Mus musculus: one gene and its partner. The protein of the gene in region 1 purifies or fractionates together with the protein of each later gene. This does not show direct contact. Links are inferred from orthologs where the notes say so. Each region holds a gene or a part of one and is shown in the gene's direction. Other genes may lie near its edges.

Evidence for each region.
Region 2: the proteins of Golph3 (region 1) and Fam20b purify together in Homo sapiens (affinity purification with mass spectrometry; 3 studies listed by BioGRID and IntAct, with this or other methods). This does not show direct contact. The link is inferred for Mus musculus from reciprocal best matches to the Homo sapiens genes GOLPH3 and FAM20B.

Annotation. Positions count from the first base shown.
Region 1 is NC_000081.6:12,319,911-12,324,512, forward strand, and holds the start of Golph3 (Golgi phosphoprotein 3), read left to right. Parts: upstream 1-1,585; 5' UTR 1,586-1,821; coding exon 1,822-2,046; intron 2,047-4,602. UniProt on the Homo sapiens protein: Phosphatidylinositol-4-phosphate-binding protein that links Golgi membranes to the cytoskeleton and may participate in the tensile force required for vesicle budding from the Golgi.
Region 2 is NC_000067.6:156,716,007-156,720,424, reverse strand, and holds the start of Fam20b (glycosaminoglycan xylosylkinase), read left to right. Parts: upstream 1-1,514; 5' UTR 1,515-1,559; intron 1,560-1,633; exon of another isoform or gene 1,634-2,259; intron 2,260-3,444; exon of another isoform or gene 3,445-3,537; intron 3,538-4,418. UniProt on the Homo sapiens protein: Responsible for the 2-O-phosphorylation of xylose in the glycosaminoglycan-protein linkage region of proteoglycans thereby regulating the amount of mature GAG chains.

The DNA of each region.
Region 1 (4,602 bases):
ACTTGTAGAGGCCAGACGTTGACCTCAGGCATCCTCTTTAACTGTTTCACAGGCTTCCAGGATCTGTCTTTCTTAGCTTCCTAAGGCTGCTATTACAGGAATGTACTTGGTGCTCATGAGTGCTGGGATTTGAACTTTGGTCCTCACGCTAGCTCAGCAAGCTGTTGACCCACTGAGCCATTCGCTGGGCCCTCACACTGTTTCTGAGGCAAGGCTTCTTATTGGGACCTAGGCACTTACCCATTTGCTTGCCCATGTGGCGAGGCTCACTGGCAAGGAAGCCTCCAGGAATCTGCCTCTGCCTCCCAGATGCCAGTTTCTAATTTGTCCTCAAGTACTGTGCCCACTGACTACCTCCCCAACGAAGCTTCACATCTTACCCCATTTAAAAAAAAAAAAAAATCTCCGCAGGGACAGGAGCAACTAGCCGAACAGGCAGAGCCTGTACGCACAGCTTTGTGCTTTTTGGATTTAACCTTCTGAGTTAAATAACCATTTAATTTACAAAGGACATTTAAAGTCAGTTGGCAAAGAATGACCAGAAAGGTGAAGGAACAAAAAGGTGACGTGAATGGGAGAAACTGGCTGAGGACACATTTTTTTTTTTTTTTTTTTTTCAGGAAAAAGGGAAGGTAGCTTGGGGCTGTGGGTGGGAGGACCTACTGGGACTTACTGTCCCCGTAGGAGTTGAGACAACGTATTTGGGCGCGGGGAATATTCTGTCTAAACCTGGCTTACTCACTGCGTATGGTTACTGTTTATTTTAAATAATACTGGACAGACCTACGATACCGTTTTTGGATAATGTTTTCTCATAAGACCCGCCCTTCTACTTCTCCAAACCCTTCTCAGGTTTGGCAGTTTTTCCTTTAACTTGATTTGCACAAACTGCCAAAGGGATTGAACCTAGTAATTACATCGAAAATAGATTTAGGGCTACAAAGACGTGGCATGAAACTCAAGAGGTTTACTGTCGCTATAAAAGAATCCTAAGGTCGGCTGTCCTAACAGTACAGTGCGCCCTGACCACTTTACAGCCGCAGTCGGAGGTAGGAAAGTTTTACAAACACAATTCGTCAATTTGTTTAACCTCTCTACGCCAGAGCACAGTACATGAACAGCTTTAAACGCCCGAGTGTAGATGACTCCTTTTGAAACTCGGGAGTTTCACAGGCGAAGAGCCAAGTCCTCCCCGTAGGTAGTGAGGACCCGGGCTATAGTGGCTGATCCCCAGGGATGCTGAGGTCTCAGTGGGGTCCGCCCTAGCCTGGCCTCGGCTTCTGGGATCCAGGAGAGATCTCACTGGTCGCTGGCGCCAGGCCGGACCTTTAGAGTGAACTGAGAGGCGGATGAAAGCCGGGCAGGTCACCGATCGCAAACCTTTCGTCTCCAGACTCAGGGCCACTAGCGAGTCCAGAAGCTCAAGTGTCCGCCGAAGTGGGAGGCGGCTAGCCACGCCCCCCGCTCGCGCCGCTTCCGGCACCCCGGCCCCGCCCCGCGCCGGCGCTGCCACATCCTCCGGTGACGTCAGCGCGCGCCGCCATATTGGGAAGCGCCACCGCCGCCGCCGCCTCCGCTCGGGCTCCTGGGCTGTGTGGGGGGCCACAGCCGCGGGCTGAAGGCTCCCTTGTGTACCCCATCGACGCCCGGCCCGCCGGCTTCGCCCAGCTCCGGCTCCTCATGACCGCCTTCGGCCCCGCAGCCCACGGACATCGCCCCAGCTCCAAGAATTAACACGGAAGCTCCCGGGGCCGGGGCCGTGAGGGAGAGCCGGCCGGTCCCGCGTCCCTGTCGGTCCGGCGCGGCTCTTGTGCGGGAGCCATGACCTCGCTGACCCAGCGGAGCTCGGGCCTGGTGCAGCGGCGCACCGAGGCCTCCCGGAACGCTGCCGACAAGGAGCGGGCGGCGGGAGGCGGCGGCGGCAGCGGCGAGGACGAGGCGCAGAGCCGCCGCGACGAGCAGGACGACGACGACAAGGGCGACTCCAAGGAAACGCGGCTGACCCTGATGGAGGAGGTGCTCCTGCTGGGCCTCAAGGACCGAGAGGTGCGGGCGCCGCGGCCCCGGCCGGGGTGGCAGCCGGGGTGGCAGCGGGACCCGGGTGGCTCCAGGTGGGGCCCGGGTGGGCGCTGGCCGAGGCCTCACCTGTCCCTGCTTCCGGAGCCCCGCGCCCCTGAGCGCCCTCTCGTCCCAAGGAGTGTGGGAGTCAGCCCTCTCCGGCTGCGCTCCGAGTGCTCCCGATCCTCCCGGTACCAAGTGCTCGCTTGGGTTTTCCCGTCCTCTGCTCACAAGCACTCTTAGTTCCGAAGTCTTGGCGATCTTTGCGTTTCTTCTTCTTCGCCGTCTGCCGCAAATAATGGCAACTCCAACCCAAGACTGTTGAGATCTAAAGACTCGGGGCTACCGCGGCTCCCAAGTATTGAGTTTTTGCAGGTTTTAAGACCCGGGAGAGGTTCGCGGATCTACTTGCTGTCGGCCCTCTTTCTTATGTAAAACTTGAGTTGCGGCGCGCGGTTAAGAAATTAGCAAAGTTGTTTTTACTGGGTATTGTTTTAAAAAGTCAATACTAAGTTGATATAAAACCTAGGAAGTTACTTTTTGGATGAACTTGGTTTGAGCGAGCGATGAGTTAGTTTTGCGGTTAGATCTGCTGTCGTCCTTTCCGTTTTGCCATTTTAAGGGAGGGCTTGTGAAGAGCTGGGAGGAATACCAAGTTTGCGCTTTGATGAAAGACTGCAAAGATTTAGGTAGGCTTAAGTTGTGTTCTGACGTTTGGAAAGGTCACCCCAGATATTTAGGAATTTCACACATATAAGTTGAAAAAGTGCAAGTGTCCGTCTTTTAAATGTCTGGATTCTGTAGTTAATGTTTGATTGATTTTATTAATACCCATCCATCTCTAAAGATGATTATTTTTAAGGGCAGACTTGCAGGATTGGATGTTTCATAAATCATGTATGATGAGGTGGCCCGGAAGTTTGTTTCGTTTCAGTGTGGAAACTCTAGACAACACATTTTGAGAGTCAGACAGAAAGGTATTGGATCTTGTTTTTAAATACGTTTTCAGAATTCAGGAAGGAGGACAAGAAACAAACCAGAACAAAACTCAGTTCATCCTATAAAACAGTTTTTTAGTTCCTCAGACTTAGCAGCGGTAGAGAGCTGAGTTTTTCCAGGGACTGTTTGTGGTTCCCGGATATTAGATACTACCCAGGGAAGTGCTTCTTGATGCCTTAATACCATTCAGCTTGAAGACACTTAATGGCCCTCAGGCTGTGAAAGGGGCACAGTACCTGTTTAATTACAGTTATTATGAGGAATGCGGTGGTGTGTGTTTCATTTTTAGTTGTGGAGTGAAAAGCTAGATGTTAGTGTGTGGCAATGCGATTTTAGAGAGCATTCACTTAGGAAGTAATTAGATTTTGAAAGCAGGCTTCTTGTAATACACATTTATCTTTCCTTCCCTCCTTCCCTACTTTGGAACAAAACAGATTATGAGACATTTCTAGGAAGTACAAGAAAAACAAAATGAAGGTTACATTCCTGGGTCAGCATTTTGGTTCTGTATGCTAGAACTCGGTAAAGCTACAACGGAACAAAAAAAATTATTTTTGGTATTGTCACATTGAGAAACAATGGTGGAAAAATACCTTTTACTTTAGAAGCCTTACTCTGAATTTTTAATATAAAGCTGTTACCAGTTATTTTTCTGTGATTGGTTCCCGTGAAGATAATCTGAAGAATTTTTTGAATTTAATGCTACTACAACATTCAACTAGTTTTGTTTTGTTTTGTTTTTTAAACAATGGAAGTTCTTTGATGGCAGGTAACTGAGACCATCTGTTGTGGTTGTTTTGTATAAGTATACTTCATAAGTCATGGCCAAGGTTCAGCCAGGCACTAATTTGTAGCATGTGGGGGTGGGCACTTGTTTTTAAAAAAATGTAGGTACATATTTTTTCTTTCATCAAGTGTGTACACAGTAGTGACTAGTCCTATAAACCTATCACCCAGTCTATTTGGGGGATGGTCCCCTTGTCTTTTTTTTTTTTTTTTTTTTTTAAAAGACAAAGTCTTGGTTTCCTGGCTCTGTTTCCGTAGCCACTTAAGCTTTGTTCAATTTGTTATTAACTTAGGTTCTAGGGATTGGGAATATACAGCTCGGTTGATAGAGTGCTTTGGATGAAGTTCTGAATTTGATTCCTTCCTCTGCACAGACTGGGCTTGGAAGCCCATCATGCCTATACTTCCACTTGGGAGGCAAGCCTATCAGAAGTTCAGGGTCACCTTCACCTACATAGAAAGTCAGAGGCCAGCCTGGGCTACATGAGAAGCCATTGGCTTCAGATTATTTACATGGAGTTTTGTTTAAAGTCTTTGTTAGGTCTCAAACTCAGGAAGTATAGCTGCTAGCCAAGGTGCCTATCAGAGCAGACACTGGCTACCTGTCTCAGCATCGCCTATACCTGTTAAGAGTCCTGACTCTTCTTAGCACTTTCATCCAGCCCTCCTACCCTCAACCTCTGCAGCCCCTGAGCTTCACTCCCTTCCCTCAGCTGCTCTGCTCTCTATAACCCTGCCTTTTGGCTATGTGGTCTCTTG
Region 2 (4,418 bases), on another chromosome or scaffold:
AAGAAAGTGTTGGCTTCCTCTTTTGCCTCATGGTTTTCTGGCCCAGAAGAGCTGGCTGCAAGCAGACCCATGTGCCTGTTAAGAAATAAGGCAGACTCTCATCACCATCCAGCCAATTTTCCCAAGAATTGTGCTTTCCATTGTCGGATAATGGCCTCAACCCTTTTCAACTCTATCCAGTAAAAGCTGACACAGGGCTGTCTACGCTGCCCTTTGTACGCCTTGCAGTGATGAGTGCTTCCAGCAGTGATTAAAGCTGCTTTCCCTCACTAAGTCTTCTGGGGTAGGGTGTCAAGTCCAATAGTTTCTCTGGGTGTCCTGATCGAAAGTGCTACACACACACACACACACATTAAACTAACTTCACACAATAATTGTATTTTCTCCACACATTTACTATTTAAATCTCACCACAATCCTGTCAAGTAGGTACTGTGTTTAACTTCCATTTCCCAAGGAGCCTTATACTCAGAGGCACTACATGACATGCCCAGTGGCATACAGTGGGGGGTGGGAGGGAGGGAGAGAGAGAGGGAGAGAGAGAGAGATCGTTTCTTTCCCTCTTGAAAGAAATTCCTGCTTAGTCCCCAAACTCCCCCCCCCCCCGCACAAATCATATCCAATGTAGAACGTACACCATAATATTTTAGGGTCAAACAGACTACATGGAAGCTGTCTATATGGTGAATAAACGTATGCATTATACAGTAGCTACTGTGTGTGGAGTGGACACACGTTAAGGGGAGGAGCAGCTCATTGACTCTTCAGGAGCCTAGTGGGTGAGTGCAGGGCACTGGAAACCAAGTCGCGCTGGATTTGCCCTCTTAGGGCTTACAGTCCATTGCAAGGCACAAACATTAAAAAAAAAAAAGCTATTATAATAAAATAAACAGGATTTTGTTAAGAGCTACTGAAAAGGTACAGTAGGGGAGCTCTGCTCTGGGCCAAAGCTGGAGCGATTTCCAAGGTGGGAAGTCTGGCCTCTTTTGGTCAGGGAAGGGCACTTTGGGGCAGAATCTCCAAGGAGAAGTCAAGGCAGAGCGAAAGAAAGAAGAAATTATCTCTTCAGAATAGGACTTCACCTAGATGACTGCAGGAAAGAAATTGTGAAGGTAAGAGAGAAGCCAGAAGCTAGTTTATGTAAACAGGCTTGGAGAAATCCGCCGACGGTGTCTGCGGAGCCCAGCGCTGCAGGAATGAGGGTGAAAGGGTTAAAGGGGGCGGTCCGGAGCTGCCCGGTAGTCCCGCCTACCCGCAACGGGGGCGGAGCTGCGCCGGGTGCGCACTGGGATTGGCTGCAGGGAGGGCGTTCCGCTAGGACCGTACCAACAGCCAGGCAGCGCGGAGGCGGGGGTGGGTGTGGAGCGGCCGGCTCCGCGGGGAGCGGCGACCGGGGAATGGCCGGGCCGGCGGTGGGCGGGAGCCGCAGTGGTGGCGGCGGCGGCCCGGGGCGGTGAGTGCGGCGTGGGGCTGCCCCTCCCCGGAGGCGGCGGGGGCGGCCGGGGCCGCGCCTCACCGCACCGCGCGGGCGGCTATGGAGCGAGCCTGAGGCCCGCCAGGTGAGTGGCGCGGTTGGAGAGGGCGCGCGACCCCTCGCCCGGGAACGACGGGAAGGAGGGAGGGAGGGAGGGAAAGCGCGGGCGGCGGGGGGCGGGGCACCTCCCTCAGGGGCCGGATGCGGGGCTGCGGGCGATCGGGAGTCCTTGCGGTGACCGGTGCTCGCTGCTAAGGACGGTCCCCAGAGGCTCCTGGCCCTGGTGTCGCCCTTCTGTCACACGAAGCCGGTGTCGGCGGCCCGGCGGGCAGCGCGCTCTAGCTCGGTCCCTACGCCGCCCTCCTGGTGGCCGAGGAGCGCGCTCTCGCTGAGCCCCTACGGGGCCCGCTTGGTGGTCGGGGAGCGCGAGTGACCTGCAGGCCCTGGGCCGGAGAGGGCAGCGGTGTCCTGCGGTCGTGCGCTCAGAGCGCCAAGGGGCACAACTTAGGATGAGACTGTGCAGAGTGGGCTGCGCTGGCGGTTTCATTTCCGGGTGTGATGGCCCGGCGATTAAGAGCGAGCCCAGACGTTGCCTTGAAGATGAATGCGAACGTTGTCAAGCTGTGTCCTTGATTGTGGAGTCTGATAAGACATTCTTTTTAATCTGGAGTCAGTGATCTGTCAGGCTCCTGATAAAAACGAAGAAAAGGGGGGGGGGAACAACAGGGCGTGGATGGTCCTTATACAATTACTTCGTTTAAAGACTTATGTCTCCAGTAGGATGGGTAAGGCGTTTACAATTTGGGAAAAGGATATGTTTAACACTGTCACTTGGATCTAGGGCCAGGTGTGAGGGTCATCTCTACTCAGCCAGGTTCCCTCCGGAGATTTGATAGCTCACGTTGGAAGAAAGAAATAATGCGATCTTTTCACGATTGAGGTCTACGGCTTTATAATACAACCGAGAATCCGGAAAGTCAAGATTGTCAATAATTAACCATGCCTACATTGCTTGGGTTGTAATTTCACATTGAGCTCAATGTGCTTGCCATTCCCTGAATTTATGCAAGCCGGGTGAGCAAGCTGAAAGCACTTGTGCATGTTATCGTCCTGAGAAACAGGTTCAGGCATTAAAGATGCTAAATTATTTGCATAGGCTCTAAATCAATTTAGGGCAAATTTAAAATTATTGTATTAAATTAATAACTTTCTTAAAGTTTGTGAAGATGTTGGGTTTTGTGTCCCAGAACTGTTACCTGAAAACAAGATGCGGGTTCACATTAGAAAATACTTATCACAGGAGAACAGTGTGGGGTGGGGGTGAGGGAGGGGGAGGGGGGATTAGTCGTCCCCTTTAATCCCACCATTCCTGAGGCAGAGGCAGGCATATATCTGCGGTCTAGGATAGGCTACATAGTAAGACCCTTCCTCAAAAGCCAACAAATCGAGGAAAATAAAAGGTACTGTGCGTAAGTCTAGCCTCAGTCATAATAAAGAACATATAAAAATAATGAAGGGAAAAGATAATTTTAAAAAAAAATAAGACTGGCCGGGTGATGACACAGCGCATGCCTTGAACCCCAGCCTTTGGGAGGCAGAGGCAGGCAGATCTCCGCATTCCAGGCCAGCCTGGTCTACTACAGAGTGAGTTCCATGACAGCCAGGGCTGTCTTGAAAACAAACAAAAACCTGGAATTTACAGCTTTCCTTGTGACCATGGGGTTGATTTGCTCTGTTTCCTTAGGACTAGTGAGAAAATAGGTACTTTTCATTTTTAAAGCACAGGCCTTGCTTTTTAAAATATATTTTGAACCAAAGTATACTTTGGAAAAAAGCAAGTCACAGATTTTTATTTTTCATAATTTTTTATGTCATAGACTTATTTTGTGCTGTTGATGATTATTTACTTTAGTCCCTTCTGTCTCTTCTGAATTTCCAGTTCCTAAATGGGAATTTCTGTTTACTTTTAGGATATGAATTGGCTCCCTCTGACCGCCATTTCAGTGCTTGTAAGTGTGAGGTCAGCAACTGCAGCCTACAGATTGATAACTGTCGAACCCCTGGTGAGTGCCAAGACAGTAGAGTCAGCTGTTAGCGCACTCATGGTTGCGGACAGAAGGAGCTGTGGGTGTCAGGTTGATCTGGGATAGAACACGAGATGATTTTTGTGGATAGGGGTAAAGGGCATAGTTACCATGGGGCCCTACAGTTGTAATTCATAGTAGGTGTGCATTAATTGTTGGTCGGTTGAAGTAATAAATGGAAAGTGGTGTGAGGGAAGCATAAATATTGTAGTGCAAATGCTAGATCTTTTTATGCTCGCCCTCCCCCATTTTTCTTTTCTTTTTTTTTGGGGGGGGGGTTCGAGACAGGGTTTCTCTGTGTAGCTCTGGCTGTCCCTGAACTCACTTTGTAGACCAGGCTGGCCTCGAACTCAGACATCTGCCTGCCTCTGCCTCCCAAGGGCTGGGATTAAAGGTGTGTGCCACCACTGCCTGGCTCTCCCCCGTTTTTTCAATCAAAAGGAATTTTAAAAAAAAGAAGGCAAAAACACTGTGTTTCCGATTTCTGTTGGCCATGTGTTACTAAGGTGGGTGTCTGCAAACGGTATTGTTTATCTGATTCAGTTCTGTGATCATATGGTGTTCCAGCCACCTGCAACCTGACGATCTGGTCACAGAGAGCTGCACAGACTTCCTCCTGCCACTTGGACTGGCTAGCTGAGCAGTTAGATAGATAACCAGTGTTTCGCCATTAATAGAAAACCATGGAGTTGTTGGTCATAACCGTCCCAGTAGCCTCAGTGCTCACTGCCCTCCTGTCCCGCCCAGTGGAGATGAGCGAGGAAGGGTCTTTCTCCCATAGCTTCTCCGGCACCTGTGCATCCCGCCCTCTCGTCCTTCTGTGAGCCTCTGTGTGACTGAGTTCAATAACTTGCAGGGCT